Rhinolophus ferrumequinum: one gene and its partners. The protein of the gene in region 3 purifies or fractionates together with the protein of the main gene of each other region. This does not show direct contact. Links are inferred from orthologs where the notes say so. Each region holds a gene or a part of one and is shown on either strand. Other genes may lie near its edges.

Evidence for each region.
Region 1: the proteins of HSP90AB1 (region 3) and FGFR3 purify together in Homo sapiens (affinity purification with mass spectrometry; 3 studies listed by BioGRID and IntAct, with this or other methods). This does not show direct contact. The link is inferred for Rhinolophus ferrumequinum from reciprocal best matches to the Homo sapiens genes HSP90AB1 and FGFR3.
Region 2: the proteins of HSP90AB1 (region 3) and DNAJC7 purify together in Homo sapiens (affinity purification with western blotting; 3 studies listed by BioGRID and IntAct, with this or other methods). This does not show direct contact. The link is inferred for Rhinolophus ferrumequinum from reciprocal best matches to the Homo sapiens genes HSP90AB1 and DNAJC7.
Region 4: the proteins of HSP90AB1 (region 3) and TTC4 purify together in Homo sapiens (co-immunoprecipitation; 3 studies listed by BioGRID and IntAct, with this or other methods). This does not show direct contact. The link is inferred for Rhinolophus ferrumequinum from reciprocal best matches to the Homo sapiens genes HSP90AB1 and TTC4.

The regions. Positions count from the first base shown.
Region 1 is NC_046288.1:87,185,516-87,193,085, reverse strand, and holds the start of FGFR3 (fibroblast growth factor receptor 3), read left to right. Parts: upstream 1-4,565; 5' UTR 4,566-4,727; intron 4,728-4,998; 5' UTR 4,999-5,100; coding exon 5,101-5,209; intron 5,210-7,290; exon of another isoform or gene 7,291-7,424; intron 7,425-7,570.
Region 2 is NC_046304.1:37,894,141-37,901,169, reverse strand, and holds the start of DNAJC7 (dnaJ homolog subfamily C member 7), read left to right. Parts: upstream 1-4,019; 5' UTR 4,020-4,092; coding exon 4,093-4,169; intron 4,170-4,438; exon of another isoform or gene 4,439-4,457; intron 4,458-7,029. Other genes in the region: NKIRAS2 (NF-kappa-B inhibitor-interacting Ras-like protein 2), read right to left, coding at 1-225, 638-731. UniProt on the Homo sapiens protein: Acts as a co-chaperone regulating the molecular chaperones HSP70 and HSP90 in folding of steroid receptors, such as the glucocorticoid receptor and the progesterone receptor.
Region 3 is NC_046286.1:13,470,961-13,478,090, reverse strand, and holds the start of HSP90AB1 (heat shock protein HSP 90-beta), read right to left. Parts: upstream 3,002-7,130; 5' UTR 2,842-3,001; intron 1,982-2,841; exon of another isoform or gene 1,846-1,981; intron 1,429-1,845; coding exon 1,282-1,428; intron 983-1,281; coding exon 776-982; intron 671-775; coding exon 511-670; intron 350-510; coding exon 216-349; intron 97-215; coding exon 1-96. UniProt on the Homo sapiens protein: Molecular chaperone that promotes the maturation, structural maintenance and proper regulation of specific target proteins involved for instance in cell cycle control and signal transduction. Undergoes a functional cycle linked to its ATPase activity.
Region 4 is NC_046292.1:39,238,689-39,246,240, reverse strand, and holds the start of TTC4 (tetratricopeptide repeat protein 4), read right to left. Parts: upstream 3,020-7,552; 5' UTR 2,817-3,019; coding exon 2,706-2,816; intron 2,700-2,705; exon of another isoform or gene 2,535-2,699; intron 2,099-2,534; coding exon 1,981-2,098; intron 1,231-1,980; coding exon 1,069-1,230; intron 1-1,068. Other genes in the region: MROH7 (maestro heat-like repeat-containing protein family member 7), read right to left, coding at 7,263-7,507.

The DNA of each region.
Region 1 (7,570 bases), on a different chromosome or scaffold from region 3:
GAGCTGCGGCGGCTTTAACCCCTCCCTGGCCAGCTCTGGCCACCTCCACACTGCCCTCCTTCTGGGCCTGCCCCCAGGGCCTTCCCCAGCCTGACTCCCCCGCCCCCCGCTCCCCCAGAGCAGCCTGCTGTGCCAGGCTCTGGCGGGAGCTGGGGGCCCCTCACCCCGAGCCTGGGTTGGAGCCCAGGGGAAGCCTGAGTCTTCATCTCCCTTCCCCCACGCCTGCTACCACTCTCCTGTGTCTACAGACAGCCCTGGTCTCCTTTTTTTGCTCATCTGGGAGCAACCACATTTTCCAAACCTAAAGTCAGGATTTGAGGTCTAGCGGTCTGAGTGAACCAAAGGGCAAAAAGGCTAGATTGTTTGGACTGGGGCTGTCACAGCACATCTAAGAAGACAGCCTCTAACTGCACATGATTCATGGTGTTGCCCTTTTTGCTCAGCCTACCAGGAAGCTCAGAGCTAAAATTAAGGATCGTGACAGTAGCTAGTGGTGGCCAATGGATTTTGGAATATTTTCTCTTGTCCTTTTTCTTTAAAATTCCATTTCTGTTATAATGAGCAAATCAATTGTGCTTTTTTATTTTAACCCTCTTCAAATTTTCCAAGAATACATTTGAAAAGGCAGAAATTACCCACAATCCACAACAGCCACAGCCTCTCTCAAATTTGCTGTTTTTTCTTTGGGGGCTGGGGATCAGCCCAGCCCAGCTCAGCCCGTCATCGAGAGGCCCCCCTGCTCCATCCTGTGGTGGCTTGCCCTGTTCCCGGGACCCCGGCCCTGTGCCCTGCAGTGTTCCTGGAAGGTATGGATGTGCGCTGCAGATGGTGAGCTGCCAGGGGGAGATCGAGCAGACCCCCGGGGGTCCCAAGAGCTTCCTGGAAGAGATGGACAGGGAAAAAGGGACTTGAAGTTCCCTTGGGGCATCAGCGTCCCCTTCCCTTCTCTTGGCCTTGGGGCAGGACAGAGAGAATCTCCCACCAGCAGCGCTCTCTGTGGGCCAGGCACTCATCCAGAGGGGAGCTGATCAGGGGGCTCGCCTACCTTGGCACTAGCGCTGACGGGCACCTATCGGGCATTGTGGCAGCCACTGCCTGCCAGGAGCTCTGTGGATAGCAGGTGGGATGTGGATTAAGTCCACAGCAGGAAGGACACCGAGGCTGAGGGCACCTCACTGCCATGTCCCCAGCCTCAGCCCAGGCCTGGCAGGGAGAGGCAAGGTGGGGTAAACACAGGGCCAGCTGCACCCAGGGCACACTGCATGCCGGCTCCCCCCCCCCCGGCAGCCCTCTTGGAGCTCGAGCACAGGCCCCAGCAAGCCGGGCCATCTGGCTCTGACTCACCGACCAGGCTGCGTGGTGCTGGGCTGCCCTCAGCCCCCTGACTCTCTCACCTTGCCCTTGGCCTTCCACACTTACCTTCACTCAGGAGTCCTGGGGGTGTGGGCCTCAGGGAGACGGGGTGGGTGTATGGGGGAGTGGGCAGGGAGGTGTGAACACTGAGGGGTCTAGCAGTGTGGGAGTCCCCTGCAGCTGGCTGGCTGCCCCTCAGACTCCTGCGCCACCACACGCCCTCAGCGGGCTCTCTTCACTCTCGTACCTTGCTCACCTACCTCAGTTGGGCAGGTGCCAGACGATACTGCAGAGGGTCCTGGGGAAAATGCTCCGTCAGGGGGCTGTGGTGAAACAGTGGCTACTCGCGGCTCATTTAAGGAGAGTTGCCGAAATCTCGGACCTGTGGCAAAGAAGGCACCATGAACAAGGGGCCTGCGCCCACGTCATGGGAAGGCCTGTGAAGCATACCACACTCCAGGCAGCAGCGGACCTGGGAATAGGAACTTTATGTTGTCAATGATAATAAGAACAAGGGTGGACAAGTGGGTAGTGACGCCCTTGGCAGGCTGACAGGGGCCGCGCCTGGACCCTTTAGAAGTAATTTGGCCAACTCAGCCCAGAGCCACAAAAATACTCCTGACCTTTGACCTAAATGCCACCACTGAGCCAATGGAGAGGCCAAATGCAGGGACCACTTCGTTTGTGGGCGGGAACACCAAAGGGACCAGCCAGCACGAGGTGTGTGGTGGGCAGAATGGGGGCCTCCAAAGGAGCGGTCCTCAGCCTCAGCCTGCCCCCGGAACCTCACAATGCGACCTTATTTGGGAAAAGGGTTTTTGCAGGGGTCGTTAAGGGAAGCTCTTGTGATGAGGGGATCATCTTGGAGCATCTGGGTGGGACCCACCTCTGATGACAGGTGTCCTTATAAGTGCTGGGTGGTCATGTGACGATGGAGGCAGAGGCTGGAGCAATGCAGCCAGAAGCCCAGGGATGCCTGGAGCCCCCGACGCTGGAAGAGGCAGGCAGGAACCTCCATAGGGAGCCCAGTGCTGGACACCTGGATCTGACTTCTGCTTCCGCGACTGTGAGAGGAAATTTCAGCCAATCGGTTAGTGGTAATCTGTCATAGCCATCTGGGAAATGAAGACAGGGTGTGAAGAACTGAGGGTCAACCCAGGCCTATTAGTGGAGGAAGAGGGGGCTCACCACCCCTACAGGCCCGAGGGACGGGGAGAGGGGCAAAAGTGGAGGTGCCCATCCCCTGCCTCCCTCTGCTGCTACTGGCCATGCCCATTGGCGAACGCCACATAGAAGCTGGAGAGCAAGAGGGCCTGAGATACTGCATGGGGCTTGTGGTGGGGCTGGGATGGCTGGGAGAAGGAACAGGGCGGGGGGAGGCACGTAGAGAACAGCTCACACAGGCCCACACCCCACCACGAGCACTTCTGCTAAGGTCACAGTTCTGGGGGCAGAAAGCAGAAAGCTACAGAGGGATGGCTGCTCACCTCTCAGAGACCAGGAGGCCAGGGAGGGGCTGTGGGCGCCGTCCTGGGGAGGGACGTGCCAGAGACAATGCAGAGCCCTTCCTGAACCTCAGAAGAGCCTTGGAAGGCCAGGCCTCAGGTGCCGACAGCTGGCCCCTCCTGCCTACCCCACCCAGGCTGATCCTGCTTCACCTGCCAGCTCTTTCCACAAAAAAATGGGTGTGTGGGGGGGTCAAGCCCAATCCAGCCCCCCCCACTCCGAGAAAGGGGGCCAAGGGGACCAGCAGTCCACATCCATCCTGGCATACTAAGTTACTGATTAAGTAACCAGGTAATAGATTAGAGCAGAATGTGTCACTGTGGCCCCGGGGATGGCATATCCTGGAGGAGGACCTAAATGTGGGTGTCCTGGGGCTATGCACTGGAGGGGTCTGGACAGCCCACTTACAGCTCAGTGGGCCCCGCTCCGTCTGGGGTACATGGTCATAACCAGAGCAGGCAGTGATGGCAGCCTGTGGCAGAGAGGGGCTGATCTGCCAGGTGGGCACAGAGGGATGGGTGTGAGGGCTTCCTGGCGGTGGGGCCCATCTCAGGCCCTGAAGTCTGACCTCCGTGGCTTCTGGCAGCAGAGGTAGCACCTGAGATGTGGGTGGCCCCAGCAGCCAGTCAGAGGGGCGTTTATTGCTCATTTGCCTGGTGTGCAAACCGAGTCCTAGAAGCCACAGCCAGGGGGGGCCGAGGCACTTGGCTGGTGCCTCTGAGCCATGCCCAGGTGACACCCTCTCGCCTCTTTTGCTCCTGGAGGGCCTCAACACTTCTGGGCTTGCCTGAAAGTGGAAGAGACCCCTTGTGAAGTTGCGCTCAGAAGCTATAGTCACATGGGGTCCTCCCCAGCTCAGCTCTGCACCACCCTGCAGTGCCCCGGGGCCTGGCACATCTCAGGCCAGCTCAGACTTTGCAAGCAGCTCCCCTCGTGATCCTTCCTCAGAGCTCTAGAGTTGGCCCCCCACCTGGGGCCCCTAGCCCTTGCTCTCCATTCTGATGCCCGTCAAACACCCAGTCTCCAAACTTGTCACCTAGGGATGCAGGATAATGACTCCCTCTGGCAGGGAACTCAGGCAGCTTAGCTACATGTGCCACAGGTGCTTAATAAATGCAGCAGTGAGCCCACAGCTTCTGGGGTGCCGTCCTCTTGCACTCTGGCCCCAAGCAGACAGGCAGAGCGGCCCTTCACCCTCAGGCTTTTGCTCACAGCACCAGCCCCCACACCGTCCGGCGCTCCTGCACCCGAAGACCGGCTGCTCACATGTCTGGGTTCAGCGTGGGCAGCACCTTCTAGGTGAAGCCTCTCAGACATGCTTCACCCACCGAGACCACACTGAGCCCCCAATCCGCGGCCGGGTGGTAACCGGACTGCGCGCTGAGCAGAGGCCTGCTCTTGGCCTCCCTGGGCGCCTAGCGGTGCGAACCGAGACCTCACCCTTCAAGCCCCGGCTCCCACGCCCTCGGAGACCGCCCGGCGCCCCCGCCCGGCCCCGCCCGGCCCCGCCCCCTCTAATCCCCTCCGCGGGCGGGGACGAGGCGAGACGCGGCCCCGCCTCCGGACCGCCCCAGGGGAGGGGCGTGTCTCCGCTCCCGAACGCGCCGGGGCGGGCGGGGCCGGGGCGGGGCCGGAGGCGGGGCGCGCGCGGGCCGGCCCCCACTGGCTGCAGCGCGCCCGGCCGCCTAGGCTCAGTGCGCGGTGGCGGCGGCGGCGCGGGCATCTGGCGCCGCGCGGTCCTTCTCGGCCCGGCGCACGGACGCACCGGCGAACCGACGGCAGAAGGGACGGGGCGCAGGCGCTGGGCCGGCAAGCAGCGAGCCGAAGCAAGGGCCGCGCGCAGCGAGTTGGGCGCCGGCGGCCGCCAGGTCGGTGCGCGGGGGCCGGGCAGGCGCGGTGGGGTCGAGGTGGGCGCGCGGCGGGGCCAGAGCGCCCGGCGGGCCGGGACCCCGAGCAATCTCCATGGCGAGGCCCGGCCGGGGCGCGGGCTTCCCGCTCTGGAAAGTTTGCGGCCGCCGCCGCCCTGGGAGGGCTCAGCAGCAGCCAGGGAGGGAAGGGGGGAGGAGGGAGGGACCGCGGCGGGAGGAGGCGGCCGGCGCCAGGCGGCCAGGGTAACGAGCTGCCTGCCTCCTCCCGCAGACTCCCGAGCGGCGCCCTCCTCCCGCCGGTGCCAGAGCGGGGCCATGGGGGGCAGCATGCCCACGCGCTCCGCCTGAGAAAGCCGTCGCCCCTGCCCCCGCGATGGTCGCCCCGGCTTGCGTCCTCGTGTTCTGCGTGGCCGTGGCGGTTGTGACCCGCGCTGCCTCGGGGCCCCAGGGTGCGGAGCAGCGCGTCGTGCGGAGAGCGGCAGGTAAGGAAGGATCCGACGGGCACAGGAGAGGGGCCTGGGGCCCCGGCAGGCAGAGGGCATCGCGGCCGGGGAACGGACGCCTGGGTGGTGGGGCCGCGGATCTGAGTGGGTCCGAAGGCGCGTACTGGGCTGGCACCGGGAGGCCAGTGTCCGGGTTTCTGCCGCCCTTCCTCCCCGGCGATCGTGGCCAGAGCTGGCGCGGCAGTTTGTGGGGCGCCTGGAGCCGCAGGGCTACCACCCAAGTGCGAGGCTGAGGCAGGGAACTGGGCACGAGGTGGCGTCCTCAGCTCCCGCCCCCGCTCTTCCCTAGTGGGCGCAGTCTGCCCCCAGGCGCCATCGGGAGGGCGTGGGGGCTGCGTCTCCACGATTCCTATTGTTGTTCTGCGGGTTTTGCAGTGACGGAAAGTTTCTATTGTTGGTGCTGTTCCCCCAACCCCTCTAGGGCCCCAGTTCATGGCTAGCTTCGGCCAAAGCGAGGGGCAGGACTTTGGAGGGAGGGTATGAGAGTGCGTCAGCCCGCGGCCCGGCCCTTGCCACCCAGTAGCCTGCATGACAAGGCGACACCTTCTAGTGCCTCCGTACCCCCACCCTACTCTCATGTCCAGTGGATGAAGGTGTGTTCTCCCCAGAAGTGCGCGCCGAACGCCAGGGGGGACACCAGGAGGTGAGAGGGCGGACGTCCGAGGGACGTGGAGCCGCGGACCCCAGTTGGTGGTCAAGGTCCGGCGGGACGTCGAGGGTCTCGAGGAGGGCTCCGCCCGCTGAGCTAGGGCAGCGGAGGGGCGGAGCGCGTCTTTGCTCCAGGCCCCGCCCCGCACACGCGCCGCGGCCCTGGAGGTGTAGCGCTCGCCCCCAGCGGAGGCCGACCGGGCGATCCCGGTATCGCCGCACCTAACGCGCGCTGCCAGGCTCCGGGCGGCAGGGCGGAGACGCGTGGTCCGGCGGCCGACCGCAGGGAGCCCGCCCCTTGGGGACAGCCAACTCCTGGGCGCCGGCGAGTGGGCTGTGCGCACCCTGCCCCCTGCCCGGCGGCCGCGCGGAGGGAGGCCTTAGCCCGGTGAGCTCACGCCCCACCCGGGCGGACCCGAACAGCCGCTCCTTTGTACCTCGGCGTGGCTATAGACGCGTATTGACGGCGGGCGCCGGGGCAGCCTCGCGGGGAGGTGTGAGCGCAGCGGCTGCGGGCGCGCCGTGCCAGCGAGGCGGCGGCCGCCGGCAGGACACAGGCAGATGGCGGCCCGCCCCTCCCTGCGGCCCCCCCCTTCTCCGCGCCCCTCTCTCCGGCAGCGGCTGCAGCCTCCCGGAACAATGTCATTTTTTTATGAATGAAAGTGGGCCCAGCGCTTGAATGTGCGTGTCATTCAGCGGCGTGACAGAGGCCGTCGGGAGGTCAGCGCGCGCTTTTACGCCTGCTCGGGCGGCCCCCGCTTCCAGGGGCGCCGAATAGGCGGCCGCGGGGGGAGCCCTGCATTAGCATTCGCATTCAGATAAAGATATTACTCTCTACGCCCAGGGAATGTCAACTAGCTCCAGGGGAGGGGGCAGCGGGCGGGGCTCCATACCCTCTCCCGGACCCCCTGCTGCGCGCGGGGGTAGTGGCCTCCTCCATCCACCCCCCTTCCCGGAACTGGCGGTGACTGCGAGGCCCGGTCCTGGGACGCAGAGCCTGTGGTGCCCCCACCGGGTGCGGGCGTGGGTAGAGCGATAGGAAGAACCTCCAAGGATGCGGGAGGGGGCTGGGCGCCTTGTCCCTTGGCCACAGCCTTGGCGCCCCCGCACTCCCGTCCCCGCAGTAAAGGTGGTGAAACAGGTAGTGAGTTGATAGGTCAACAAACTTAATCCAGTTCCTTAAAGAGATGGGCCGGGCAGTAAAAATACAAAGGCCTCATGAAATTTCCAGAGGTCCGGCCTGGCTGGCACTTTCCCAGGATCATAAATTATGGAGCCAGAGCTGGCCAGGGTCAAGGACTCGGTGGGAAAGGTGTCAGCTTGGGACTGCCCTGGTCACCTCAGGCCCTACCAAGGCAGGGTCCTCCACACGAGGCCATGTTGTTGGTAAGGGTCTGGGCAGGGTCTCCTACCTGGAAGGGAGGTTGATGGGAGCAGCAGGACGCTGCCACCACCCACCCAGCCTGAAGGGGTCTCTTCAGTGCACTATTTCACCATTTCCCGGAAGGCATTGGCTGCAACCTCTCCCACTACCTCCTCCACAGAGCTGGACTTTGAGCCTCTAGGGCGTCTGGGTGGTTCATTAACCTGGGCTGAGCCCCCGGCTGGACTTGTGGCCTCTGAGCCCCTGCACTGAGCCCATGAGCGCCCCCTCCCTCCAGGGCCTCAGGTTCCACTTGGGGCCTGTCCACG
Region 2 (7,029 bases), on a different chromosome or scaffold from region 3:
ATTTGTCGATTTCCTTCTTGAGCAGCTCCACGCGCTGGAAAGACTCTCGGCTGTCTGTGCTGTAGACCAGGACGTAGCCGTCAGTGCAGGAGAAGCAGTGCCGGGGCAGCTCGGCCCCATCTCGGAGCCCCCGGGTGTCATAGAAACGCACCTGCTCCCGCACCCCCCGGTCGGTTTCAATGGAGCCCACATAGATGTCTTCCTGCGTCTCAATCATCTCAGAACCTGGGATAAAATGAGGAGAAAACTTGTTTGTAGGGAGGAAGGAGATGGGAAATGTGAGTGAGTGAGCATATACGTGTATATCCTGACAGGGTGACCAGACAGGGAAAGAAAGGAATGTGGGGGCCAGAGACTGAGTCTGGCAGGACTGGAATGATTTGGGGGAAGGGACATTAATCACATGTTCATACCCTGCCAAACAAAAGTGTGACTTGGGGGCATTCCTTCCTCATATCAGATACTGGACTTCCTTCCTCCAGATCTCTATGTTGTAGGGCTGGGGGGCGTAATGTAAATTTTACTCTTTTGGGGTACAAGAACCACCAGGAGCAGCTCTTAGCCTCTGTGTGTTGTTATCAGATCCTGTTCGCTATTCTTCACCTTCTATCATTCCCCTACCCCCAACAACACTCACCCACTACATGGTTCCCGTACAGAAGCTGCTCCAGGATTGACGTTTTGCCCACAGATGCCTGGCCGCACACGACCACCTTGCAGCTCTTCCCCATGCTTAGCCTTCAACCCTGAAAAACAGAAGCACACTGGGTGAGGTGGGATGAAAACAGAGGGCAGCACTCCCATAACTGAGAGCCCCAGTTCTGAGCTGCATGTGTAGCCTCAGGGACTCAGCACTGTCCCGTGCTCTAGTCAGGGTGTATGTCAGAAGTTTTGTGCCTAAGTCCACTACTGGACAGGGAGCTGTATCTTATTCACCATTGTTATTCCCAATACCTGGCCAGTAACGGGCACAGAGCAGGTGTTCAGTAAATGTTGCCATAAAGGGGAGAGTGGCTGGTTTAAATGAACCACTGGCCAGGTTCCTGTGTCCACAGGACGCGGAGGACATGGAAGGGGGCTAAGCCTCAGCTTCCTCTTTTTAACTACAACCCCACAGAGAAATAAGCAGGAATACTATTTTATGTGGATCTGTCTTAAGCTACTCTTCCTGGAGAGAGTGAACAAATAAGGAGGATATTTTTGCTTTCCTGTACGACTTATCTAAACAATAATTAATTCCCTATAATTCCTAGTTAAGTCCACGGCTAAGACGAAGACCATCAGACAAGAAAGGAGGAAGGAATCTATGGGGAAAAGGCTCTGGAAAACAGGCAATTTTTGCTGCCCTTGCACTGCTAGACCCAGATGAGAAAGCTCAGACACAGAAACCCCTGCTCGGACACAGAGGAGGTCCCAGGGACCTTTTTTTCCAAGGCATTCCAAACACAGGTTTCCCAGGAGTCCCAGACAGATTCCCCCAAAGAGCAGAGACACAGAGATCATTCCCAAAAGGGGTCCCAAACAGAAACCTCTCCAGAGGAAACTCCTGATACAGATCCTCCTCCCCACACCCGAAGGACTCCATAGACTGAGCCCTGAAATTAACGATACCCCGAGAGAGACAGCCAGCGGGGCCTCCGCCAAATTTCCCCAAGAGGAGACCCCCAGAGGGAATCAAAGGCGGGAAAGATCTGCCACCTAAAGCGACCCTGACGCGGTGGCCGATTCCGGCCTCCCAGCTCCGTACCTCCCGGGGCCCTCGCAGCACCCCGGCCAGGCCCCGAGAGGAGCGCCGGGATCAGGGGAGGGGCAGCACCGCCGCAAGGACACCGTTCTTCCGGGTCGATTCGGGCTTCCTCAGGACCTGCCCTCCCCCCCTCCCCGCCCATTTCCGTCTGGCAAGACGAATTCCGGCGGCGGAGAGCGGGCGCCGTCCGCACAGCGCCCCCCAAAGGCCCTAAAGGCAAATGACGGCCAGGATCGGGGCAGCTGGTGCACAGCGGAATCGTAAGGTTCTAGGCTCCCTACACTCTAGGTGCGGTTCTGGTGTGTCTGATGCCCAAATGTTCTTTCCGTGAAGGCTACTATAGGATAGGAACATTTCATTTATTCAATCGTTTATTCAATCGTTTATTCTAAGTACCTACTCTATGCCAGGTACATGACAACGAACCTGGAAAAGGGGGCGCATTAGACATGGTACCTGCCCATTAGAACGGCACCGTCTAGAGGAGCTAGACATCTCAACCACCAATTAGAATACAACATGGTAAGAACTATTACAGAGCTGCTATGGGAGCACCGCAAGGGGGCATTTAACTTGGGGGCCTTGGGCACCACAGAGAACTTCCTGGTGGAGGTCATGTCTGTATTGAGGTTTGAAAGGCTTGGGAGGAAAGGGTGGAGAAAGCGCGGCAAAAATCATGGCATTTTCTGGAATTACAAGTACTTGGGTTCAATATTGATGGTAGAAAGGAGCCAAATGATCAAAGGTTTTGTGTAGTAGGCCAAAAAGTTCAAACTGTATCCTAACAGCCAGGAAAGCTATTGGTAGGTTTTAGTGAAGCGACATCAATTTTTGCTTTTAAGAAGGTCACTCTGGCAGAAGACTGAAGGTTGGAAAGAGATGAGACTAGGGGGCCAGTTAGGAGACTTTGGCATATAGATCTGGATATATAGATCTGGAACTCAGAAGAGCAGTCTAGGTTGGAGATAGCAACAGACTTGAGAGTCATCAACAAAGTTAAAGCTGTGGGAGTAGATGAGTTGGCATAGATGCAGAGAACACAAAATGGGAAGATGGTGAGAAGCTGCCTCCTACATTAGACTGTAGACTGAGCCATTGGCAGACAGGGCAGGTGGTCTGTGAGTCCGTGCCCTCCCAACCTAGAGTAGGGAGAGTAAGCACTTTGGAGAGCGCTGGATAAATGTTCTCTCTCTTGCAACCCAGCCTCTCCCATTCTCCCCTACCCGATGGTGGGTGTGGTTTCAGCTCCTTTGGCACTCTGATAGGCAGAGACCACGCAAGCACATACTGTTTTACTGGGGACAACAGCATATACTGTTTTACTGGAGGAAGAAGGTAGATCCTTTTTAAATTCCCTTGCTCCCATCTTATTTTAGTTTCCCATAGTTTTAAATTTTAAACCTCAAACTCTCTCAATTTAACCTCAGGAAACCTCAATTTAATTCAAGCCCACAAAAATTATTGGTTTGGGTGAGGTTAAGTACTACAAAGACGATTAGGCTGTGTCCCTGCCTTCTATGAGTTCCCAATCCAGACTGCATTCGGAAAGACAAGCGTGGTGAGCAGGGAGTGTATATGAGGGGTGGGAATACTGAGGGCACTGGGGCAGGGACCTCACCCCGCGAGCTGCCTTATAAACTCGAGGGCAGGGTCTGGGGCTCTGTGCCACTGGGGCTTAATGCTGAGATGGCACTCCCAGGCGGCTGACATGAAAGGAACCTCATAAAAGGGTCAGCGTCATTAGGGTGATGAACCAGGTGGTGCCTGGAGATCCAGAGAGGATGAAAGGCGTGGGGTGAAGACGCCCTGCGTTCCCCTAGCTTGGCTGGGCAGGGCTTCCAGGGGCCGATGAAAGCTAGGGGAACCGGGCTCAAAGTGTCTCTTCTTGCTTTTCCCAGGAGGAAGCTGTGGACACACTCCAAGATCGGGAAGGTAGTAGTGTGGGGAGCGCTCTTTCCCTCCAGAGTCTTGGGTCACTGGGTCCCCACCCAACTCAGACTCCCTCGAGACGCTACAGGATTGGAAGTTGCTATGGCAACGAGGTTTTCGGCATACTGAGAAAAGTCAAGGCTAGAGAGGCGACCCCTCCTGTAACCCCCTTTCGACCCACGGGTAAAGTGGCGCCCCCCACGTACAAGAACTGTCCCTGGGCCCCCGCCCCGGCGCGGAGATCAACGTGGACCTCCGGGGGCGGGAGGCCGCTCTGGCCCGAAGCGGAGCCTCTCGTTGGTAGACGGGCCCGAGGGAGCCCCTCTGGGCGCAGCGTCTCCGAGCTGCTCTATGCTCCGACCGGAAGTGCTCTTCACCGCCGGCCTCCCACCCGGCTCTCTGGTCTCGGCGGTAAGATGGCGGCTGCCGCGGAGTGCGATGTGGTAATGGCGGCGACCGAGCCGGAGGTGCCCGACAACGCAGAAGCGAAGAGGTAACGGGGTGGCAGTGTAGTGGAAGGGGGGAGCTTCAGCTCCGTGGCTCCGGGCAACCGGTCCCTGCCAGGATGCAGCCCCTAGCTGTTGAGGAGATGCCCCGCCCTCCGCAGACCCCCCCCCCAATCTGAGATCTAGTCCGGATGGACCCCCTGAAGGGGCGCTCTCGGAGGTCGGTCCTCCTCTCCCGCTTCCGCCTGGCCGGGTTGCTGAAGCACGGACGGCCTCGTTCTCCTGCAGAGAGGAAGGTCCTTATGGTGGAGACCTGGTCCCTGAGGGTATCTGAGGTCTGTTGCGGGGTGGGGGAGGCGGCGCGGCGACAATGTCAACTTCCTTACATTGCCTCTTACCCCCCCGCCTTCTCTTATTAACTTCTGTGCATTGTTGTCTATCAGCATTTAGCATCTCCACAGCTTGTGCTCTCTTTACTCGTTTTCGTCCGTAATTGTATCTCAGGGAGCACTAGCCGGGGTCTGAGGTGATTGTGTGTCTCCATTGTTGACCTGGTCGCCACCCCCTCCCTGTTAACCCAGAAGTCGAAGATGATAGAGAAAGAGGAGTGAGGGGCTTGTTTCACGCTGTACACGTCAAACTCCTCTTCCTCCATCCCTCCGTGTACCCTTCCGAGTTACATCCGCATTCTTCCCTGGACTGGGCTTTCTTATTTTAAGCAGCAAGGAGGGCAGCACCTTGGGCGCTATTGGCACTACCGGGCAGCCGCAGGGGCTCGAGATTGCCAGTCCCGACTAGCCAAGGCAGCTGCTGAGTGAGTGTTTTTCGAGAACACTCTGGATTCTGGCTACAGCTAAAGCAGGTTGTGGGAAATGGGGTTGGAACACAGTTGTGGGTAGTCATACTTGTCCTAATCCTGAAGCAACATTAAGGAAAAGGTTCTGGAAGTTTGGAGCCCTTATCAGCACAGATTGTCTACAATCCCCTCAGTCTCCTTCCTACAGATTTCATGTCTTTGTACCAAGGCCATTTCATTATGTTTTCAATCTGGGTGATTTGAAGTTTTGATGCATGAGATCTGAAATCAGGATTCTGAGATTTTTTTTTTTTTTGCTATCCAAGTTAGAAACATAAGTTAGACACGTAAGAGGTATTCAGTGAGGCAGAATGAATAGTTACCAAGCTTAAGGATAGTTACTGCAGCCAGGGTTCCAAATTCCTGACCTGTTGGGAGCTGAGAGGCTTGACAAAGTATAGGTCCGTGGGATATCAGAGAAGTCAGGGTACCAGAGTCTAGTCTTTCTTATTAGTTTTGAGTCTTCACATCTGTCCTCCTTCTTTCCAGGTATTTAGAATTCAGCAGCATCAGCTTCATTAAGGAACTGCAAAATGGGAAATAAAACTGCCCCCAACACAGAGCCTAAATTAATTGTAAGGATTTATTTCATATGGAAACAGTTTGGGGTTCTTTGTGCTATTATTAGGGTCTTGGGCTGTTACATAATTGAAAAAAACTCATTTACTCAGTGTAAAGCTGTGATGTAGGGATTGTCCCTAATTTGGATTCCTGTTCAAAGTCCCCTATCTAAAGCAAATCCTTTTCCTTAAAAAATAAAATTATGGCCTCACAGGATATTCTATCATAAAGTAGTATATGAACCTGAGCATAGAACTGGTAATGCGACAATGTGACCACATTACACAAAAGCATATGATATTTGGTAGCAGTACAACCAAATAAGAGAGAATGTTGACTTACATTAACTGCCTTATTTCATGAAACTTAAAATGTCATTAATTGTAAAATGCACAATTGTTTTTTCTACCACTAAGAAAAAAGAACTGTAATTTAAAAATAACTATAAAAAATGCATTCTTACCAAATAGACTTATATGTTATACATATTTATATAGATCTCTTTTAGGCATAATAAGACATAGGTGTTTATCATATACCACTTAGGTGAACAAATCAAAAGGAAAATATAGCGAAGTTAAAAAAAAAATCACGGTTTGACTTTCTGCCATCCTTCAGAAGGTAAATGTTGGGATCTTTAGTAAGAAAAAGCCTTGTTATGTATGGTTTTCCAATGCTGAAAATGGAATGGGAATTTAGAAGTTTTGGGGGAAGGTTGTTTATATTTCTCACGTATCTTGGAATCCTATGTAGCCATAGCAGAGGGCAGAGATGGGGACATCCCTTACAAGTGCCCTTCACTATCTGGTTTGGTTTGTCATTTGACCAAGTCATGTCTCTCATTACAGCCCTACTACCAGTTCACTCGGGGACACTGAGAGTTGATGGGCCTCTTGGGTTTTTGTGAAGCTCAGCAGGGATTCCTTCCTTCCTTGCTTGTAGACTCAGGGACATCCTGCTGTGCTACTAAATTGTTACAGTTCCGCAGGGGGCAAAATGAGAGGAGCTTTCAAGACACTAGACCTCATGATGACAGCATTTTAAATGGCTACATGTTTTATTTCCTTAGCTTTAGTATCTCTAGAGAGAAAAGAAATGGACTTCATTTTTTTGCCTGTCACTCTGGCAAAGTTCTTTTTCTCCCATAGCAGCTGAGAGGCTAAAATAAAAAATGTATTAGTTGCCATTCCAAAATAGATCAGCATTCTATACATGGAGATTATTTATTTCTCTTTGCCCACCAGAAAAGAGAAAGTGATGTGGGAGCCAGAGGGCTAATTTCAGAGCCTTTACATTTCAGCTGATTTAAAGCCTTACATTTTCCTGGGAAGTTGCTGATTGCTTTACCTAGTATATGAATACCTTTCTTGAGTGAGGGCTCTGGTCACATTTCTTGGTCTGGGGAGCTGCTTGGTCTCTACAGGTCTGTATTATTGTAAAATTGAAGGATTTCAAGTTGTTCATGAATAGAGGAAATACTTCTGTGTCTC
Region 3 (7,130 bases):
GGGCTTATCATCATCATCTTTATCCTCCTCTTTCTTCTCACCTTTCTCTTCCTCTGCTTCATCATCACTGATTTCTTTCTCTCGTTCCTTCTCCAACTGAAAGTACCAAAGACAATAGTTTCAGAGTACAGAGCAGCAGGGATCACAAAAAACCAGGAACCACGCAATTCTCCAGAGCAGACATCATGTGTTGACAGTTTCCAGCCCATACTCACATAAAGGGTGATGGGGTACCCTATGAACTGTGAGTGCTTCTTCACCACTTCTTTGACCCGCCTCTCCTCTATGTACTCTGTCTGGTCTTCCTTAAGATGGAGGATCACTTTGGTACCCCGGCCAATGGGCTCACCTACAAAGTCAATCACAATGGAACATTTAAAAAAAAAAAAAAAGAAACTAAATGTAGAACTGTAGTGAAAGGAAACTGCTTTACAGGTAGGACACTCAAGATGTCTATTTAAATTTCCCCTGGATTCTAAGCCAGACACTTTTACAGTTAAGCCAGCTTACCATGGTCAGCTCGTACAGTGAAGGAACCCCCGGCAGAAGACTCCCAGGCATACTGCTCATCATCATTATGCTTTGTGATCACAACCACTTTTTCTGCCACCAGGTAGGCAGAATAAAAGCCAACACCAAACTGTCCAATCATGGAGATGTCTGCACCAGCCTGCCAAAAAGTTTTAAAAAGTCAAAACAAATTTCGAAAACCACAGCAAGCCAAAGAACATTAGATAAACACGGATGGTGTGTGCCTAGCTAAAATACCACACACCTGAAGAGCCTCCATAAATGCTTTAGTACCAGACTTGGCAATGGTTCCCAGATTGTTTATGAGATCAGCTTTGGTCATGCCAATGCCAGTGTCCACCAGAGTCAGAGTACGTTCCTGGGGGTTGGGGATGATGTCAATTTTCAGCTCTTTACCACTGTCCAACTTGGAAGGGTCAGTCAGGCTCTCATAACGTATCTTGTCCAAGGCCTGGAAATACAAATTTTATTTTTACAATGCTGCTTTCTTAAAGCACAACTCTTCATCCAATAAAAAACTTCATTTTTTACTCCTCAATAGCTTCAATTCTGAATACCCTTTGAAGTTTCAAAGCCACATACAGTTAGTTACACTATCCCATCTATCCAGAGAGTAAGACAAACCTGTTTGGAACGCTAGGTTTATCCCCTTCAATAGCAGGCCCCACAAAAATGCCAAACCACCCCTCATCACTTTTCCGGATTGCTAAAAACACATCCAGCCCCGAACACCCCTTCCCCAGCACTCACATCAGAAGCGTTACTGATCAATTCCCGAAGGAAAATTTCTTTGTTCGAATAGAAAGTATTGATGATGAGAGACATAAGCTGGGCGATTTCTGCCTGGAAGGCAAAAGTCTCCACCTCCTCCTCTCCATGGTGCACTTCCTCAGGCATCTAAATAAGAAGAGTCAAGAATTACAAAAGAATGGAATGGCCCTGAATTTAAGACTCCCAAAACAAACCCCAATCACAGTGAACACTGGGAGACAGTTGGTTCAAACTGCTCTGAGTGAGGTACCACCTAGCCATTCCCCAAGAGGCTTTGCTTTCTTCAAGATTTCAGACTGCACCCTTAGTCGCAAACCATTTGGGGGCTGGGAAGCCAACACGTTCTTCAACGAAACAGAAAAGCAGGTTTTTTGGAAATCAAACTACTGTTAAGTGTTCCACGGACCAGCAGCCTCAGCATCACCGGGTTACCTTGTTAGAAATGCAGAATCTTGGCCCCCAACCCACGTATCTCAAGTTAAGAATTCCAGGAAATCCACACGCACGTTTCAATGTAGAAATCACTAACCACAGTTTTATTACCTCTTTTTGGTCCAGGTGAAGGAGAAAAACCCGGTCACTCGTTTTATGTTAATGGCAATAATGTGAAATTGCTTCCCAAGTAGGTACCTCCTACCTCGCCCGAGCACGGGATTGCTGACTCACGTGGTAGGGGAGGGTAACCCGAGATCGGTGGGATACCCGCCGGGAGGGGAGGGGGACTATTAAGACAAAGAAGCCGATAAAACAAAAGCACAGTCGTGACCCCTCGGCTCACGTGACTCAAGTGTAGGCCTAAACACAACTAAGATGGTGGCCGTGGTCTACCGGATCGACCCTCGTCACTACCGGACATGCGTCGGCCAGGGCCACGCGAAAACGGGGTGCCGCCGCGCAGCCTCCCTGCGCTCCAGCATTCGGGCACCAGGGCGGGGCGCCGGGCTCCAGAAGCTTCCAGAACAATCTCAGCTCTCGGAGAAGGGCGGGGGTTTAGGAGCCCACGAATCTTCCAGAACCCGCCTCCTCCCCTCCTCCACGCGAATACAGGAAAGATCTAGAAGGACGGTGGGCCAGTAGAGGGCCAAAGCGTTCCTTATCGCAGACCCTCACGGACTTGAGAAACGCGTCTAAATAAAACAGGTGGCACAGCCAGACCAGCACCAGGCTGTGCTGAGTCACACCGAGCGCGCACACCCACAACCCTTGCGGACCCTCTAGCGCCCCGTAGCCGCGGTCCGGAAATGGAGGGGCAAAGATGGCAGCGTCCCGGGCCGGCGCAGCCACCACGTGCAGTAGCCCACTACCCCAAGGCCACTCCGCGGCCCACCTCGGCCAAGGCTAGTCGTTGCCCGGGGGAAACTCCGCCGCCTAAGCATACAAGGCAAAACAAGCTCCATTCGAGAACCCCCTCCCACCCACCTAGAAATTGTGGCATCCCAAAGGCAGCCCAGCACAACAAAATCGGGCCTTTGGAAGGGAAAAGAGGGACGAAATACGCTCAGAGACAGAAAAGGCTGAAAGAGAAAAGTGCGGCCTTACCTTAAAGGTGAAGAGATGCAAGTACTAGGGAGAAAGGTGGACACCGACTGTGACCGGCTCACACACCGCTGAAAGCGTGCGTGGGGGTAACTCAAGAGAAGGGCTGTGTGACCCCCTAGTCGCTCTATATAGGGCGAAGTACAGCCCTCCCACGGATCCCTCCGCCTTAAAGCAGGATGTCTGTCAGCTCCGCACCTGCTGCCGCCCGCCCACCTTGACGTCATGGCCAAAATCGGGGCGGAGACAGTGAAGAGCGGGAGCAGTGGTTCTCAGTGTCTGCAAGGGGCGCACACTTTTTTATTGGCTTACGTATCCCCATCTCCGCACTTCACGGGCGTGACCCCACCAGAATTAGAGGTTGGGTGGGAATGCTTAGATGATCCAGGTGGATTTAGGGTCGAGGGTCCCACTGATTTCCCTTAAAACCTGTGGGGCAGGCCCCTCCACTGCTAACTCCTGGCCTTGAGGGACACCTAAAAAGGGGCGGATGGAGGTGGCCAATCACTCCGACCTCCGCTCCCAGTCTAGATGGACCTCCCTCTTAGAATCTGCTCTGCACATTCCTACATCCCGATAAGGGGTTTTCTCTGGGGCGGTACAGAATTCCAGGCTGAACTTCGGGCAGCCGCCGGCTCCGGCTCTCCGGTGGTTGTGGGGTGGTGGGCGGGGGGAAGGGCCAGCGTTTCGCAGCGGGGCGTGGCGCCGGCCCAGACTGGTGGAGGGACTCTTTGCGGCGGAAGGAGAGACAGCGGCAGTACTGCGACGCTTCCAGCAGTTTCCAGACCCCAATTGGCGGCCCCGCCCTCGCCCCACCCTCTTCCCTCGAGGCTCCGCCTCGCCCGCTGCGGCCTGGGCGGTGTCTCTGTGGCGCCGCGACAATTCTACCAGAGTCACTCGGGAGAGGGTGGGCTGCTCCAATCCCCTGTACTCTAGAAGGCCGCCTGCGGGACCCTCTATCCAACTTACCGGGTCCACCTAGCTTGGCACTGGGTGGGATGGAGCCCAAAGGGAGTGATTGACTGCTCCTGTCCCTCATCGATGACACAGCACCCTGCTCTGCAGGAGCTGCCTGGAGCGAGCCGAGATAGGTCGCTTCGGGAGGGACTCTCCCTCTGGCTGGGACCCAGCCTCTGTTGCTGACCAAGTGTGGAATGCAGAGACGTGTTACCTCCCTGCATACCGAGGTGTCATTAAAAGATACAGTGAATGTTTAAATTTAAAAAAATGTGTTGGGGCTGGCAGGTGCCTCAGGTGGTGGGAGCGTTGTACTCCTAATGCCCAGGTAGTCTGTTGGATTCCCACGTGGGCCAGTGAGCTGCGCCCTCTACAGCTAAGATTGTGAACAACGGCTCTCCCTGGAGCTGGGCTGCCTTGAGCAGGCATGAGCCGCTGTGAGCTGCCAACTGATGACCCCATTGCCTCAGCTGGGGGGAGCGCAAGGCTCTTAATACCAGCATGGGCCAGGAAGCTGTGTCCTACACAACTAGACTGATAAACAACGGCTTGAACTGGAAGGGGGAGAGGTGGAAAGGGGGAACCGAACAGGAAAAAAATTTATTATAGTAAAAGACACATTGCCATTGTCTTCTTCCTCCATCATGACAACGCTCTGTGTCACACATCGCTTCTGGTATACGGCAATTATTGTCAAATAAAGACGTTATGGTGTGTCCTCATCCACCTTATTCACGGGATCTGGCACTGTGTGACTTCTGGCTCTTCCCCAAAGTCAAAATGACTATGAAAGAAAAACATTTTGAATCGATTCAGAACATCGAGGCAGCCACAACAGCGCAACTAAAGACGCTCACCAAAGAGGACTTCCAGAAATGCTCCAGAAAGTGGCCAGAATCACGGGATAAGTGTGTTCAAAGCAAGGGGTATTAATGCCAATGTGTCTTTTACTGTAATAATTTTTTTTAAATTTAAACATTCACCGTAGTTTTTGATCACACCTTGTAAGCACATAGAGCTGTTTCTCAATCTGGTTTTGTTTCTTTTCACCCTCCTTCTGCAGCTACCTACACCTGGGGAGGGGAGGGTCTCCAGGGGACCTGCAGAATGGCAGGGCCTTTTGGAGACCACATGAAGACACTGGCCCATAGCGCCCACTTCAGACGTCCAGAACCAAGTTGTCCTCCTTCAGCTGTGACGCCTTATGCCCGGAGAGCTGCAGGTTGCCTTGCCTCACCCGGCTCTGCAACTTTGCACGCCCTCCAGCTAGCAAACTGTCTTTGCCTTTCTAAGGCCTTATCTTGGAAGGCTGCTGGACCCATAGCCTCTCCAGGAAAGAATGGCCACTCCCTGCTCTGTGACCTTGTGACTCACCAAAGAGGACGTCCATCAACTCCCTTCCTGACCCACTCTGTCTGTCCCTGCAATGCTGGGGAGGTGTTCCCCCAACACCACCTGAAGTCCTCTGTCGCCGGCCTTGGTGCCCAGTTTTCTTTCCTTCCTTCATATTTTCTTTGTTCGTGTGTGGAATTCCAAAGAACAAAGGACCCTGGCTTTCCTTGCCTCACATCCCAGACCTCATCACCCCTGCCACCAACACCCCAGTTTCATCTCTCCTGACCCATCTACACCCCATCATGCTGGTCTGCGAGAAGCCTGTGGCTGGGAGATGTAATAGAGTATGGGAAAAGGCATTGTGCTGCTTCCAGGAAGGCTCCAAGAGTCTCTGTCCTTGATCGAAATCTCAAACTAGGAGCATAGTCCCTTAACACACCCCCTTTCCCTCTGGGCAGAAGGGACCTAGCTAATTACAAATCTGTTTCCTAGTTCACAACGAGCATTCACAACATCTCACAGTCCTGTGAAGAGGTAAAAGTGAGTCTGCATATTCTAGGGATTGGGAAGGGAAGGCTTCAGGGACTACATCAGGGTCAGTCAGCTCAGAGCCTTTGCTACGCTAACTCCCTTGCTGCAACCCTGCTACAGAAATGGAGTGGGAAAGCTGTCTCCCCTCTCAGGACACAAGTCCAAAGCAGAGCGGCAATCACTCCTGTGAATCACTATCAGGACCAGAGACTACTCAGGTTTTCTAATGGGAAAAATCTCAAATCTTGAACCAACACAGACATTCCAACGTCTCTTCTGAAGCCTTCCAAGATGTCTTCTCCCACTCGTTGATGCTCAGGAAGACCCCACTGTGAGCCTCCCCTGGGGATGCAGAAATGCGTAAGGACAGGGAGTCTTTAGCTACTGGGGACTGCCCCAGGCCAAATGTGAATCATAGAAGTATGGGAGCAGGTCAGAGACTCCTAACTCAGCCCAGGGAAGGGGGCAGGCTTAGGGCTATGGCTAGCCAGGCCACAGTGCAAGTCTAAGAGAAAAACAAGGCACAACCCTGACAGAGGGACCATAGTCCACGAACCACTGAGGAAGGCAGGAAGAGCTGAAAGTGACTCTGCAGGCAGGAGTCAGGTTTAGAAAAGGCCCCAAATGCGATACTAAGAAGTTCTGACCTTGACTGAGGGTGAGAGAAGCCACTGGCCGCTATTAAAGATGGTTTAAACCCCCCCTCCCCCGATCTCCAGAATCCTACTCCCAGTAGTACTTGCAATGCTTGATGTTCCCTAGATATCCATTATTCCTGACCTGGCCTCAAAGACCCAACCCAACCTTTTGCCATTGGAGGGCGGCGACATGAAACAAGACAAACTATGGCCTGCAGCTAGTGAGCCTGTTGCTTGTTTTTGTATGGCCTATGGGTAAGAATGGTTTTTACATTTTTCAATGGTTGGAAAAAAAATCAAAAGATAATATGTTGGCATGTGAAAAATATATGAAATTTAAATTTGTGTCCACAAAGTTTTACTGAAACACAGCCATGCTCAGGCTCATTTGTTTTCATGTTGTCTTTGGGGCTTTCGTGGTGTAATGCCATGGTTGATAGTTCTGACAGAGACCACATAGCTTGCAAAGTCTAAAATATTTACTCTCTTACCTTTTACAGAAAAGGTGTGCAGACCCCTGATTTAGCTAACGCTAGGTGAGGTCTTGGAGGGAGCCTGGAGACTCAGGCTGGGCAGAGGCCTCCTGCCGCTGCTCAAACTGAGAGATCTCCTAGTTGGGCAGCACCACTGGCATTTGAAGGGCATGTAGGAGGCTGCTGAGGGGTGCTCAGATAAAGGGCAATGGGTGAACAAAGTACCCAGGGGGCATCAGGACATCAGGGATTGTACAGCATGGGGAATAGCTCTGGACCCTTAGCTCTCAGAACAAGCTCAGCACCTGCCAGGTGTGTTCTGTCAGTTCTGGTCCTTTCCAGTTCCATAGGGTTTACA
Region 4 (7,552 bases), on a different chromosome or scaffold from region 3:
GATGCCAGTCCCTGGCACAGAATAAGAACTCAGTTTGCTGAATGAAGAACATGTATTCCTCCAGAAGTTAGAAGACTGAGTTTCTAGTCCAGGTTCTGGTACTAACCAAAGGGTCCCTCTCTGGGCTTACACAAATAAGGGGGTTGGTTAGCCCAAATAATCTCTAAAGTTCTATACCACTCTTACTTTTTAGAATTTTTTAATAAAACAGGCTAAATGAGAAAACAGTTGGAGCAGACTATGGTTGGAGAGAAACTGCTTAAATGGAATTCCAACAGACTCATCCTAGCTAGACTACAAAGCTTATTCTCTCCCAGTCCCTCAGAAATGCCTGGGGTCATTTCTAGGTCCTCTTAAAATCTGTGATAAAAAACAGGGATCTACTATGACCAAGATTACTCACTCGAATAATCAATGTTTCCCAAAATCATGTCTGCAGAAAAGTACTGCATGTTAGTAAGTCTTACTTGAAAATGGGCCTTACAAAACTTGAGAATCACAGGGTACGGTTCTTTGCTGTAGGTTATCTCAGAGTCCTTAACATACTAATGTTGCAAATCCCCAACAAAGCAGCACTTTCCAAACTTACTTGTCCAAAGAATATTTTTTACTTCAACGGTCCCAAAGAATACTCTTTGAGAAATTCTCCCTTAAATTAATAGTTTCTCTCACACAAAGACCTCTACTGCCTTAATCCTTCCAGCATCCTTGAGAAGAGGGTAAAAGGCCAGGAAAAAAACTCTTTTGAGAGAGACAAGCAGAATCTGGGCTAAAAAAATCCCAATCATACCAATGCGTGTTTAAGGTATTTGATGTCACTCATTTGGTTCAGGTAGTAAAAATTATACAATCTACGATGGTAAGGGATGGGAATAATTTTTTTTAAATTATACAATCCATCTGGCTTCCCTTTTCACCAAGTCTACCTGGAACATCAGAGTTCAATTAAACTACCGTAGGTGTCTGGGGTAGCTTCTCTTCCTCTGATACTCAAACTCTCCACCAGCCATCATAATGGCTTTTATCACGTTAACTCTTTAGAAAGCACTAAATAATGGAACAAATTACCCAGATAGTACTGTGCTGCTGCTCGGTTGGTATAAAGGACAGCATTCAAATCAGGGTCTGCACATTTCTTCTTTAAGCCTTCAGTGTACGAAATCACAGCTTTTTTATAGTCTTTTTCTTTAAAATAATCATTGCCCTCATCTTTATAGGTCTTGGCCTGTTCTGCAAAGAAGAGAAGAAATAATCACTATTTCCTATTTTTTAAAAGGCTCATTAAAAATAGTTTCTAAATCATTCAACAATGAAACATAATAAACCAAAGAGAAAAAATCAACAGGGAAGGAAAACTAAAAAATACTATAAAACTAGGTATCAACATGAGAAACAAAGTCATGAGTACTTAATGCAACAATCAATTCCAAATACCTATGAAGGGAGACTATTAAGTGCTTACAAAAAAAGAAGCATAAAGGAAAAAAGCATACTTATCCCAGTTCTTGAAGAAAGAACTTTTTTTTAATTACGGAAGAAAGGCAGAGAATTATACTTCTGCTTTTGCTTATGTTGTTTTATTCCCTGGAATGCAAATTCCCCTAGTAAGAGCCTACAAAATTGTTAAGATTCAGCTCAAATTTCTGATCCACGGTGAGCCCACTAATACTTCTCCACCTTCAGCGTTCCCGCAGTACCTAGTATACAGCTATGTGTTGGCACTTGTCACACACGTTTATCCTGATTCTTCAGAACAATCTAGCTATCCACTGGAGCATGATCTTTGAGGCAAGTTTTCTTCATCCCTGTGCCCCAATGCCTAGCTAGCATTTAATAGGTATCCAAAGAAGTATATGTTGAATAAATAGTAACAAGTTAGCTCAGGCTAACTACTACTTGTTATCGATCAGAACCTTTCTGATCACTCTTTATCTCAAATCAATGGCGACACAAAACAAAAATTTGAGTCATGGAAGATACCTTCTGGAGATCGCTCCTCATCAAAAATAATTGACTGGAGGCAAGCCAAGTCAGGATTCTCCATGGGATCAATTTCTGATGGCGTTTTCTTCATAAATAGGGGGATCTTTTCAAATTCCTAGAGATCGTTAAGACAAGAACAAACTATACAAATAGGATTTTCCACAGAGTAGATCCAACTCCATGTTTCTACATCAAAGTTTTCTTACTCGTCAGGATTTGCAAATCATCGTGATTGGCTATCTCTCCCTATCCCAGCCTCAGTACCCCAGCTGTAAAATGAGAGTGTAGGAAAATGATCTGTAAAGATTCTTTCGTTTATCATATTCTTACACGTGCGGGAATGATTACCATTAATTGAGTGCTCTATGTTCCTGGAGCTTTACCCACATCTCATTTCATCTTCACCGCAATCCTACGAGATTGGTGCTACAGTTGGGGCAATTTTACAGAGTCAGGAGACCGCTCAGAGAAGTTAAGTAACTGACGTATTAGAGCCAGTAAATGGTGGAGTCACAGGTCTGACTCCAAAACCAATTTTCCTAAATGTACAGGCAGATTAAGAAGACCCTCAAAATCTCGAGGCCGATTTTTAACCCTCAAGTGGAAACTGCTGACAGCGCCACGGGTCCGGGGGCTGAGGGACGCGCCTCCACGCCGCGCCGGGAACCCCAGGAGTCCGCACAACGCCCCTACAAACATGCGGAGCCCCAAGTCCTGCTTACCTCCTCCCACTGGTCCTCATGGAAGCGGCCACGGTAAGACTGACTCCGGAACTTTTCTACAAACGAGTCCATGGCGTCGTCGGAGACGGCGTCCAGTTCAGGCAGTTCCATGGTCGCTCCTCTGCCCTCCCGCCTCTGTCAGGGCGCCGAGAACTCCCGGCAACTTCCGGCGGTGCGAGCGCCCGTCCCTTAATCCTCCGGGCGGCGCCAGCCCCTGCGCCTCGGGTTCCGCGGTTCTGGGGGCGTGGCCGACCCGGCTCCACCCCTCCACCCGAAGAGCACCTGCCCCGCCCCGCGCCCCTTCAGCTGTGCTGCAGCCCCACCCCCCGAATGCTGTTGGGGTGGTGAATAAACCCAACGCTCCTCCATACCACACTATCGTATCACTTCGTTTGCTCGTTTGTTCAGCCAGTTAACACATATTTCCTAAGCTTCTGGGTTCCAGGCCTGTTGTAGTCACTGGGTATACAGCGGTGGGCAAAGCAGATAAAAGCCCTGCCCTCTAGGAGTTGATCAGGTAGTGTGAGACAGACAATAAGCACATAAGATGTTAGAGTTTGTCAGGTGGCAGCAAGAGCTATCGGAGGAAAAAAGCTTTAAACGGGTAGACAGGCTTTCCAAGCAGAGGAGGAGACCTGGAGCGGCAAGTGTGGGTGTGGGGGGGAAGGAGGAGAGTTGGGGGGAAGCGTTCCCCCTGGAGGGAAAAGGCAGGACTGAGCCCCAGCAGGGGAGCTGGCAGGGGTGAAGCAGAATGAGGAAGAAGGTGAGGTGACAGGGATAATGGGCCATGATTCTGAGAGTTCTGTGCAATGGGACCGTTTGGAGAGTTGTGAGGAAAGCAGTGCTGTGATCAGACATGGGTATTTCCGAAGTTAACTACCCGCTATTCCCCTCAGCTGAGATGGAAACAAGGTCTCTAGGCCAGGGGTGCCTTCCTGCAGCCACTGGGTTACCCAGCAAATGGTTCCTGGGCCCTGCATTGGATGCTACAGCCTGGGCGAGCTCACATCCCGGCCAAGAAGGAAATGCAGCCAGGCTGTAGACCAAGGGAAACCCGGGCTGCCTACAAGTCTGCACAGAGGAGAGTGGGCGCTGGTGGTGGGCGGAGGAGGGGAGCAGGCGGGGGCGGGTATGAGGGAAGTTTCACAGAGGTGACGCTGATCTGACAGCAGAGAGGAGGTAGGCCTCTGCAGATGCGGGGGGTGGGGGGGGTGCTGGAGGGAAGTTGGGCATTTCAGGCAGTGGGAGCCCGCCCATGTGCAGAGAGGCATGGAGGTGTGCAACAGAGCCGCATGCTAGGTACTGTGAGAGTTAAGAGGTAAGGCCAGCAAAGGAGGCAGGGGCCAGAGGGCCTGACTGTCCCTTGGCCTCATCCTGCAGAGGATAGTGAGCCACTGAAAAGACCCAAGGGCAGATTTGTCTCAGGAAGGGCAGGTTGCCAGGTGAAAGGTTGAGGGGGGAGGCTGGGTTAAGAGATTGACAAGAAAGCGGCAGATGAGAGACCTGGGGAGAGCAGAGAGCTGAAGCCCAGCAGTGGGTCTGGCAGGCGTGGTTATTATTTGCTACGAAGATGAGAGAGCCCACAGGGCTAAGGATGACAGATGGAGGGCCTGGACTGGGTTTTTCCCTTCTAATTCACCCACGTGCAGCAGAGCACCTGGTCCCTTCCCTCCACACCCAAACCTCCTTTTCCACACTTCTTCCTCCAGTCTGCTCCCGAACCATGGTTCCCATTCTTATTCTCCTCTTCATTATCTTTTCCCTTCTTGAGTACAAAGCCTACTAAGTCCTTTTACTTCCAGTTTTTCATTTGATTCCTAGAAAACCCCGGGAGGTGAGAACCCATTTTACAGGTGATTATAGGGGAGGCTCAGAGAATAGAAGTGACTTGCCCAGTGCTCTTTGACCCTTCCAACTCAAAACTACTTGGGGGCCTTGGCCAGTATCTGAGCCTATCAGCCTCTGTTGAGCTTCAAGATCACCCAGACCCGGAATATGGCAGCTGTCATTTGTCAAGGCCACCACCTAGACCTGGATTCTGGCCAATGAAAGCAGGAGTGTCTGAGTAGAAAGAGCTCAGATATGGGTGGGAGACCTTTGGGACCCACACCTATGTTGATTCCCTTTGTAACCTTAGACAAGGCCCACCGTCTTTGAGCCCTGTCCTCATCTGTCGGTTGAGGGCAATGAAGCCAGCCTGCCCTCCCCATAACTCTGTATGGCTACTGTGAGAACGCACGGAGGTGATGCTTGTGACCATTCCTGGCACTGAAAAAGGTTATGCAAAAGGACCACCCCCATTTCCTACTCTCTCTTTGGCCCCGGATCCTGATGGCCTTGGCCTGCCACTTATTGGAGGATGATTATCTGGTCAACTTCATGGGATCCTCATCCCTACCAGGAACTTAAATCGAGATGTTCTGCAGGCTTATGTCTCCGTCCACTCGACACACCTGCCCAGGGAATCTCACCTCACCCCTGTACACAGAGGAATCCCCAAACTGTTTCCATCTCAGATCCCTCTGCTGAGCTCCACCCCTATGCAGCCAGCTACCTGGTGGGTATCTCCGCTAACATGGCGCACGAGCTCCTCAAGCTCATCACGTCCAGACTGGACTCATCCCTCCCCATACCTGCTCCTGGTTTGAGGGATCACTCAGTGGGGGGATACCACTGGCCCAGTCATCCACCCAGAAACCTGGGCACCATTCTTGGTGCCTTGATCTTCTTTCCCTTCTTTCATCAACCACCAGGTTCTGAAAAATTCTCCTTCCTCATCTCACACAGGTCTGGCCACCCTCTCCATCCCACACCGCAGCCTAGCACGTCTCCCCCTTCTTCTCTGAAGCCGCTGAGCACAGGTCTCCCTGCCTGTGCTCTTGTTCACACAACCCCCTGGCCACCACCCTTCCATTCCACTCAGAGTGAGCTTTCTTCTGCTCCCTTTTTCATTTATTCCCTTTTATGCCACTTTAATGTGTTTTAATGTGTATTTTCAGCATGTAAGTGTTCTTGCAAAATGCAATGTCTTTTGGGCATACATTTTTAATATACTTTTTTCACTCAGCACTAGGTTTTAGCTCCGATCCGTGGTGCTATATGTACCCCCACTGCCTCTAACTGCTGCCACCGCGCTCACTCACCCCCCAGGATGCATACCCAGGTGCCTCCCTCCCAGGCACCACAAGTAACGCTGTATGAGGATAGACTTCCTCATACATCTCTCTTTATGGACCTGTGAGAAGATTTCCCTGAGATATATATGTGCCCATGAGTGGAATCACAGGGTCATGTGTATATGTAAACGTAATATGACTGAAAAGAGACAGATCCCTGTCCAAAACGGCTGCATACATCTCCCCTCGCAACAGCCGTGCCTAGGAGTTCCTGTATCCCCATGAGGAGGGAGCTTTCTAGAGCAGACCTCTCTCCCTGCTTGCCTCTCCCCTCTCCATCATGCCTTCCCACTGCTCTCTGGATGAAGTCTCCCTCCTTAACACTCCCCTCCCATTTGGGCTCCATTGCACCTCCCAATTTGCAGTTGGGCATTGGTCCCATGTGCCCTGCTGTCCTCCATACACGCCCACCATGTGGTCGTCTTTTCAAATCCCCTGGAGGGAGAATCTCATCTCTGGGAAACTTTCCCTGACACCCCAACAGCCAGCTGGTCTCTATACCTCCTCGGGATTCCATAGCTCCCATGCTTTCCTTCATCAGAACACTGAGCTGCCGGGCTGTTGGTGTCTTTACATGTCTAACACTTCCATTAGACCAAAGTTTCTCAACGCTGGCACTTACGACTATTTGAGTTGGATAATTCTTCACGGTGGGGGCTTTCTTGTACATTGTAGAATGTTTAGCAGCATTGCTGCCCTCTACCCACTGGACACCAATAGCACTTCCTTCCCCAAGTCGTAACAACCCAAAATGTCTCCAGACATTGCCAAATATTCACTGGGGGTCAAAATCAACCCCGGCGTGGAACCACTGCATCAGACCGTAAACTGCCCAGGGCCTGGGGTTGGGTCTCATTCATGTCTGTATCTCTAGCACCCAGAGCAGGCCTGGCCCAATTTAGTTGCTCAATAAATGTTGCCCGAATGAGTGGCAGGCTGCCACATCTATGGGCATAGACTGGAAGGTGGGCCTCAGAGATCAAGGTTCTGGGAGACGCATGATGTCATGGGGTGAGAGGAGTCTCTTTTTTCCTCCCCCAGGGGGCACTTGAATCATCATCTCCTTTTGTTCTTAGACTCTCCCTGTGGGACCTCCAGCAGACTTACTGTGTGGCTTTGAGCAAGCAGCTTCACCTTCCTGGGTCTCAGCTTCCCACTTATAAAATGTGGACAAACAGCCTATGTGAGTCCATAAATGTCAACTGAGTCAACGACAAAGGCATTGCTCCTTTCACAGATTTGTCGCACAGAGCAATGACTGCTCCAGCCCTGGGACATCTCCCATGAGGAAACACTCAGAAGGGAGAGGTAAGCCACGCAGCATTTATAGTGAGCATGGCTGGGCCTGTGGCCTCCCCTGAGGGCTGGGGGCTCAGGGACATCACTGTTTCAAGGACATCTTCCAGGAGCCCAGTGCCTGCATGATCCAGGAGCGCCGCTGGTGGGAAGTGGGCAGGTTCTCACAGCTCGAGCTCCAGCAGTGGGTGGTAGACGGCTCACATACCCAGGAGTCCTCATGGGGCAGTGGCCAGGAGTTCCGCCAGCAGCTGGCCAGGATGTTGTCCTGGGCCTGGGCCGCGTGGATGCACACCGATGCTTCTGGGTCGTGCCTCAAGTTTTCCAGAGCTGAGTTATGGGGAGGGGAGGAGCCACTTGTTAAGACCAGGTCCC